Linked DNA regions of Oryctolagus cuniculus. The protein of the gene in region 1 purifies or fractionates together with the protein of each later gene. This does not show direct contact. Links are inferred from orthologs where the notes say so. Each region holds a gene or a part of one and is shown in the gene's direction. Other genes may lie near its edges.

The links. Proteins that work in one complex are often made in the same cells at the same time.
Region 2: the proteins of ZCCHC10 (region 1) and NEURL4 purify together in Homo sapiens (co-immunoprecipitation; 3 studies listed by BioGRID and IntAct, with this or other methods). This does not show direct contact. The link is inferred for Oryctolagus cuniculus from reciprocal best matches to the Homo sapiens genes ZCCHC10 and NEURL4.

Annotation. Positions count from the first base shown.
Region 1 is NC_091437.1:21,523,621-21,527,840, reverse strand, and holds the start of ZCCHC10 (zinc finger CCHC domain-containing protein 10), read left to right. Parts: upstream 1-1,420; 5' UTR 1,421-1,423; coding exon 1,424-1,653; intron 1,654-4,220.
Region 2 is NC_091448.1:51,927,442-51,931,552, reverse strand, and holds the start of NEURL4 (neuralized-like protein 4), read left to right. Parts: upstream 1-1,311; 5' UTR 1,312-1,456; coding exon 1,457-1,729; intron 1,730-2,493; coding exon 2,494-2,938; intron 2,939-3,144; coding exon 3,145-3,210; intron 3,211-3,355; coding exon 3,356-3,654; intron 3,655-3,839; coding exon 3,840-3,951; intron 3,952-4,044; coding exon 4,045-4,111. Other genes in the region: uncharacterized protein, read right to left, coding at 1-342. UniProt on the Homo sapiens protein: Promotes CCP110 ubiquitination and proteasome-dependent degradation. By counteracting accumulation of CP110, maintains normal centriolar homeostasis and preventing formation of ectopic microtubular organizing centers.

The DNA of each region.
Region 1 (4,220 bases):
TAAAGAACAAGCTGTACTCAAAGCTGACATCATTACCTTCTCTAACTCTCAAAATTAATCACTTTACTCCTTTATTTGGGATTCCTTTTCTTTCCTTTTTAAAAAGATTACTTGAGAGGCAGAGAAACAAAGAAGTACAGAGGAAGACAGAGACAGCCAGCCAAAGGGTAAACCTAGCCACTGGTTCACTCTAAATGCATCATAATACAGTAGAGGACATCATATTGCAAGACCAAGTAAGCACGGCAAAGAGAACTCACTTTCATAACGAAACTACTCTTTCAATAACCAAATTAATCCATTAATCTGAAAATAGATTCATTTATTCATGAGGGCAGAATCTCCGTTACCTAATCACCTACCAAATATTACTGATATATGACTTTAGGGATTAAATTTCTTTTTTTTTTTTTTTTCAGATTTATTTCTTTATTTGAAGGTCAGGGAGGCAGAAGAGACAGAGACATCTATCTGTCAGATCATTCCCTAAGTGTTTGCACCAGGCCAGGGCAGAGCTAGACAGAGGCCAGGAGCCTCCTGCCAAGAGCTGCCTCCTCTGTGGGTGCAGGGGCCCTGGCATGTGGGCCATCTTCTGCTGCTTTCCCAGGCACATTAGCAGGAAGCTGGATCAGAAGTGGAGCAGGTGGGACCTGAATCTGTGCAGATATGGGATGACGGCATTGCAGGCGGATGCTTTATTTGACACACCACAGCTCTGGCCCTGGTGGTTAAATTTGTAACACATGAATTATCGGGGGAAAACACCCTAATCATAGCAGATTTTGTTTATTATCTGTAGAAAGTTCCATGTGCCCAAGGGTCTAAACTTGAACAACACAGCATCTCAAGCTCCTAAACACTTTACTAAATAATTATTAATTGAAAAATACAAATGGGTGACCTAGAAACAGACAAGAATATATACAGCAGGATTTCAGAAAAGTTGGTGGGAAATGTACATTTTTCTTTTAATGCCATTTTCACTAACTTTTTGGAGTAATTATACATATGAAGAGTGTATATATATATATATATATATATATAGAAAAGATTGTGGACTTGGGAGAACATTTCCATGAGTCGATACTACAAATAGGTATAGCTACAATTTTCTAAAGTAATATTTGCGATGGTCTTTTTCTGGTTGCCAAAGCAGCTTTGGTCCTTATAACATTGCTGTGAATATATTAAACAATGAACAGTTAACACCATTTTCACTTGAGGATGTGCTAAACCCATTCTCTCGGATCCAGGGCCCGCTCACTATTTTATTCTCCAGACTTCTGCTTTCCGGTACACAGTAGTTTCATTCAGTATCTCTGCGTGTGGGGGATACCTATACACACGAATCTTAAAAATACATACTTTTCCTTTTCGGGAATGTGCTTCCCCGTCACCGTCCTTGCAAACCTCGCTCAGCCCCATGGACGGACCCACAGCGGCGTCCGCACGCACCCGCCTCCGGCCCTCGGCCTCCTCAGAGAGGCCGCCCGCAGGCCCCGCCCAGAAGCCGCCCGGAGGCCCCGCCCACGCCGCGGCCGCCGGGTCCAAGTCCACGCCCCCTGCGAGGAGTTTCCCAAAACTCAGCGCGGCAGGCCTCGGCCGCGCTAAGATGGCGACTCCCATGCATCGGCTCATAGCCCGGAGACAAGCGTAAGTGGGGGCCCTCTCGGGCTCCCGGACGGGCTGGGGGCGGGGAGACGCGCGTCAGCCGGCGGCTGAGCCGGCGCAGGGGTGCGCGGCTGGGCGTCGGACCCCCTCCGAGGAGCGGCCGAGGATGGCTGTTGCTCAGACACATTGCCAGCGTCCGCGGGGCTCGGCCCGGGCGATAAGTTTGGTGACCAGAGACTTGCGGGGTCGTGGAACAAGAAGGCAGCACGCGGGGGTTGGTCACTCCGTGGGTTAGGCCGTTCTGCCCGCACGGCGCGTGGGCAAGGGAAGCCGGGTCGGACCCCTCCGCTCCCGCGGAGGTAAACTGCAGCTCCCTCGGCAGCCTCCCGGCCAGCTGTCTTTCGCTGCCCCCTTCCCATCGCCGTCCCTGGACTCAACCAGCAGCTACTTCTCAGTTACTGCCGGTCTCTCCCTGAGTAAATATGTAGTCCCTGGGCTCGGCGCCAGAGCTTGGGCATAACGAAGAGGTGTTTCATTCCGATGGAGCCCCTGCTTCGGGAGCTCACGCTCCGGTGATGGGGACGGTCTCTAGTTTGGTCAGCTTTGACGGACACGAGGTTTGGTGGTGGAAAGAGGCGACATTTGATCAGAGATGGCCATGGGGAGAAAGCAGCCGGTCCTGAGACGATGTGTGGAAAGAACATCCAGACAGTGGCAAAACTGCTTGGAGGCCAGAAAGAATTTACTTCTCAAGAGCAGAAAGATGGCCAGTGTGCCTAAGGAGCTAGCAGGACAGCGGCGCCAGAGGTTTGCCGTGAGCCGACAATGCAGGGGTCATCTCGGAGGCCCTTTTCCTGCAAAACCTTCTTTCCTACCAACACATCTGCTACTTCTTCATTCTCAGTGTTTCACACCATCATCGTTTTGCACACCTATAGTGCATAGCTCAGAGTCCATTAACGTATATATGTTTATGTTTTTTATGTTTCTCCCTTTTCAGGCCCGATGAGAGTTCCCTGAATATGATAAAGACTCAGGGAGTCAGAGTAGTCAGCTTGGTGGTGAAAGGAGGCTCAGTGCTAACTGATGTCATTAGGTCTCCGTCTCTGCCTCTCTGCTTCTGCCTCTGTTGCTCAGGTTTGCTTTCCTGGATGTTGGCTCCAGACTGGAACAGACTCTGTTTTCTTCCTAATGCAGTATGCCAGGGTCCCTTATATCCTCTCAGCTTGGAGCTGGCTGCACTTCAGTGACCTGACTGCCTTGGCACACCTGTGGGATTTTGAAGTTACAATTGACTCAGAGGTCTCCTCTCCCAGCCTAGTGGAATGGATGACCATGAATGGATGATCTGGGTGGACGGGTCAAAGGTAGATGAATGCTGACTAATCAAAATCCGTAGTAGTGCTCATTCACAAGTATCAGAAAGTTAAATGTTTTCTTTGTATAGTGTGTGTGTTTGGTCCATGAGGTACATTGGAAGTAAAAGGCAGATCAGAGCTCGAGCAGCTTGTGGTCTTGTTGGGAAGAGGTATAATATAAGTTGTTGTGGTGTACAGATTGTAATACCCCCAGGGATTCAGGAAAGGAAGATTATTTTGAGGTTAGGGACGTGCAAAAGAATTTTAGGGATGTATTTGGGGGAGAGGAGAGGAGTCTTTGCTTTTCATTTTATTTTCATATTATGTTAGTCAAAAAATGTTAATTTTGTTTATAAGGAGCATATATGACTTTTATAATAATATGTTTAAAATTGTATTTAAGTTATGAGAACTGAGAAAGGTCTGTTGTCATTCTTTTTTTTTTTTTTTTCCTTTAAAGATTTATTTATTTGAAAGGCAGAGAGATCTTGGGGGAGACAGAGAGAGAGGTCTTCTGTCCTCTGGTTCACTCCCCAAGAGGCCACAATACCTGGAGCTGGGCCTATCCAAAGCCAGGAGCCAGGAGCTTCTTGAAGAACCAGGTCTCTGATGTGGGTGCAGGGTGCTAAGCACTTGAGCCATCCTCTACTTCAGAAGAGCAGCCAGGACACAAACCGGTGCCCATGTGGGATGCCAGCATCACAGGTGGAGGCTTATTTTGAAAGCATAAATTAGCAATCTATATGAAAGATGAATTTTTTAAAAAGATTTATTTTTATTTGTTTGAAATACAGAGTTACAGAGAGAGGTAGAGATGAAGAGAGAGAGAGTCTTTGATCTGCTGGTTCACTCTCCAAATGGCTGCATTGGCTGGAGCTGAGCCGATCCGAAGCCAGGAGCCAGGAGCCTCCTCTGGGTCTCCCACAAGGGTGCAGAGATCCAAGGACTTGGGCCATCTTCCACTGCTTTCCCAAGGCCATAGCAGAGAGCTGGATCAGAAGCGTAGCAGCCAGGACTAGAACCGGTGCCCATATGGGATGCTGGTGCTTGAGGCCGGGGCTTTAACCCACTGCACCACAGCACCAGCCCCGAAAGATTAATTTTTTTTTTAAGACATTAATTTGTTTATTTGAAAGGCAGAATTAGAGAGAGGAATCTTCCATCTTCTGATTAACTTCCCAGATGGCTGTAAAAGCTGGGCCATGCTAAAGCCAGGAGCTAAAAACTTTCAAGTCTGGCCATGTTGGTGGT
Region 2 (4,111 bases), on another chromosome or scaffold:
CCGGGGTTGGTCCACACCGGAGTCTTTGGATTGCAAGCAGGTTGCCCCGTGGCACGAACCGCATTCTGAACCGTGCGCCCCGGAGTGGGGTACACTGCTTCCAGGGTACGGGGTGCTGTATCCAGCAACACACGTGCCGCACTTGCGGCCAGGGGTACCGAGGCCCACTCCCGCAGGGGCCCGCCGCGAATCAGGGCTGTGAATGGCGGAGCTCCCGGGGAACTGAGGGTGCCGAGGGCCTGCCTCGGCTCCTCTGACCCCTTCTGGCCCGGCCTTGGTTGCCCGGCCAGGAGATCCCCCGTCGAAGCGGCTGGCAGCTCCCCAAGGCTCCTGCTTCTCCATGGCCCCACCAGGGGGCCACTGTCCGCCACCCGCCCCGCCTCCCTGCTCCGCAAGCCCCGCCCAGGCCCCGCCCCCAGCGCGGGGGGGGCGGGGAACGCGAGGGTTCAGGCCCGGGCCCCCTCCCCCTCCGTTCTCTGCCGCCGCGGTGGGCGGTGGGCGGCTTCTAGACCATCCTGAGGCCTCCGGCCGGGGCACCCTCCAGTCACCGTTCCCTTTCTGTCCAACCCAGAGACTTTCTTTGTCTCTGCGATTTGTTCCCGCCCTCCTCCATCACCGCCCTCATCCGAACCAGCCAATCAAAGCCAGAGGACCTGGCTAGGGGGCGAGAAGCCTCGATTGTGACATCACAGTCCGCCAACAGCGCGAGGACAGGAGTTGCGCCGGGGGCATATAGTTCTGAAGGAATCTTTTGGGACCATCGGTGCCATTGCTTGAAACTGGGCGCTTCTTTGGTTGGAGATCAAGCTAGACTTGACCTGAAATATATAGGAATTTTTTTGTTCTTCCCTAAATAGTCGGCTCTCTGCTCCTCAGGAGAGGAGCGAGGCGTTGCGTGAGGAGATTGCGACGCTGTCGTAACGCATTTCCGATCTCAGTGACGTGGAGGGCAGGCACTTTCATTTATAAAGCTACGGCTTTTCTGGCTCCCCTAGACTCAGCTCATAGCGCCTTGCAGGAAGTAACGTGAAGCGAATCGGCCCTCTGCTGCCGTAAAGCGAATACTTGGAGGTGTTGCCTCTCCCAGGGGGGTGGGGCCGACAATGCGGTCGTCGCAAAGCTGAAGCTGGGCGCCAGCATGCCCTCCGTCGTAAAGATGCCTGCGACAGGCGTATCCTCCTTTCACTGTCGCAAAAGCGCCCTCCCCAAGTCCTCACTCCTCTCAGAGACACTGTCATCGCGCCTTGCCGTAAAGCAGCCCGCCCCGACCCCGTCGTCCTTTCTGTTCCCACCGTTGTAGTCCTTAGTTCCTTAGCCGGAGGTGCTTCGTTGCCCGGCTGTGCCGTAAAGCGTTTCTGGCCCCAGCCCCGGGTCGTATTCCCTCAGGGTGTCCGTCTACCGCGGTTGCCACGGTGCCGCCAAGCGCGACTGTCGCGCGGCCCCGGTGTCAGCGGCGATGGCGGCGGGGTCGGGTGGGAGTGGGGGCCCCGGGCCGGGGCCGGGCGGGGGCGGGGCGGGCCCCGGCGGGAGCGGCCCGGGACCGGGGTCCAGCGGGGGTCTCGGCAGCGGCGCGGAGCTGCACCCGCGCACTGGGCGCTTGGTGAGCCTGTCGGCCTGTGGGCGTACAGCGCGGCGGCAGCAGCCGGGCCAGGAGTTTAACCACGGCCTGGTGTTGAGCCGAGAACCCTTGCGCGATGGACGCGTCTTCACCGTCCGCATCGACCGCAAGGTGCAGAGCCGGGGCGGCGGAACCGAGATGTGAAGAAGTGGGAGGGGACCAGAGGGAGAACGGGGCGGGGTAGCCAGGGCAGCCCACGTCGCTGGGTACTGACAGGGAAGCGACAGGCCGTAGAGCACCGGGCGATGCACAGGGAGCGAGCAGGGACGTCCAGTCCGAAGGAAGAAACAGGAGCAGAAGTGGAGGGGGGCACGGGGGCTCGCCGGTAGAATGACTAGGGAGCAGCCTCCTTGGAGCAGCTTTTTGGGGGTGGGGGATGCAGAGATGTGCTGGGAAGAGAAGAGAGATCCCAAGACAAGGACTAAGCATCGGAGGGGGGAACTCACAGGTAGGGCCAGAGAGATGGGTGAAGAGGACCCGGGCGAGGCAGGTGTGTGTGAGAAAATCTGGGAGGAGATTCTGGGCGGAGCCTGGAGAGAAGGAGGCCCGAGGGAGGAGGGTGACCTGGGCCAGCTAGGAGGCTGGCTGGGAACTTGAGCCTACGCGGGAGGGGGCGGGGAAGAGTGGGGTAGACCCCGAGCACCCTAGGACACGCAGGGTCTGGAGGAGAGCAGACCCTAACGATGACTGAGGCAGAGTGGGAAATGCCTCATGGGTTTGCGTGTCTGGATCAGCATCTCAGAGAGGGAAAGCCAGTGAGCCGAAGGATAGGAAGAAGGGGATACAAAGGCCTGTGGGGTGTGGTTTTCCAGCCATTGGGGACCCACTGATGGCCCACCCTGGGCCTCTATCCGCTGCCTTTGTCACACACACAGGTCAACTCCTGGAGCGGCTCCATTGAGATCGGGGTGACGGCGCTGGACCCCAGCGTGCTGGACTTCCCAAGCAGCGCCACGGGACTGAAGGGGGGTTCGTGGGTAGTGTCAGGCTGCTCGGTGCTGAGGGACGGACGCTCCGTGCTGGAGGAGTACGGCCAGGACCTGGACCAGCTTGGCGAAGGGGACCGTGTGGGCGTGGAACGCACGGCTGCGGGGGAGCTGCGGCTCTGGGTGAACGGGCGGGATTGTGGCGTGGCTGCCACAGGCCTGCCCGCTCGGGTCTGGGCTGTCGTGGACCTTTATGGCAAGTGCACCCAGATCACTGTGCTGCCCCCTGAGCCAGGCTTCTGTCCCCCTGCTCCCCTCCCCACCCCTCCCCTCGAGCCCTCAGCCCCCTCTGAAGATCCCGCCTTGGCTGAACAGGGAACCTCCGGGGATGAAGGTAAGAACGCAGCCAGGGCCGCGGCGGAGGGGTGGGGCTGCGGGAGTAGCTCAGGTGGGAGACTTGTAGTGACAGGTGAGGCCGGGTGTGGGCAGGGCCCTTCAGATCCCTGCAGAGAGCAGGGGCTCAAGGAGGGGGTCTCCTGTCTGTGGGCCCTGGTGCAGGGACTGAACCCTTATTCCCCTCCCCTCCCACCTGGTCCCCAGCCTTCATGGTGTCCCCAGCGCAGGCCCGGCCGGAGACGTTTCCTAACAGCCTTGACTCGCATAATGGTGAGGGCTTCGGGGAAGCCCTGGGAGGGGAAGTGGGCAGTGAGGTGGACAGGGGAGGGGCCGCAGGACAGGGCCAGGGAGAGAGGGCGCCAAGCCCAAGGGCGCGGTCTCATCGCGCTGTCCTTCCTCCGTCCTGCTGCTGTAGACTTTGCCAGCATGGAGCTGTCGGAGGTGGTGAGCAACACCATCCTGTCTGCCTACAACGGGGGGCTCCTGAACGTGAACCTGAGCTCCCCCCCGGCAGGGGAAGGGCTGGCATCCAGCGGCGCTGCCACCTCGCCCATCCTCACTTCCAATGACGCCCTGCTCTTTCACGAGAAGTGTGGGACCCTCATCAAACTCAGCAACAACAACAAGACAGCTGAGCGGCGGCGGCCCCTGGATGAGTTCAACAACGGGGTCGTCATGACGAACCGCCCGCTGCGGGACAATGAAATGTTTGAGGTGTGCAAACCCTGGGGTTTGGCCAGCGCCTCACCCTCTGGGAGCTGAAGATGGGGCTGGATAGGGAGGGAGGTGCTGGCAGAGGGGTGGGGAAGGAGGGCGTGCTCTGGGAAGAACCAAGGCCTGGGGCCCCTCCTCTGTATTTACATTCCCTGGTCTTCCCTTCCGCTGTCACTGGACCCCAGATCCGCATCGACAAGCTTGTAGATAAGTGGTCGGGATCCATCGAGATCGGTGTCACCACGCACAACCCCAACAGTCTGGAGTACCCAGCCACCATGACCAACCTGCAGTCAGGTGCCCGCACTGGCAGGGGTGGAGGCGCAGGCCTGGGGTTTCCTGAGGGGAAGAAGCCTGTGTCCTAACCAGGGCGTCCACCTCCCGCACCAGGCACCATCATGATGAGCGGCTGTGGGATCCTCACCAACGGCAAAGGCACCCGCCGCGAGTACTGCGA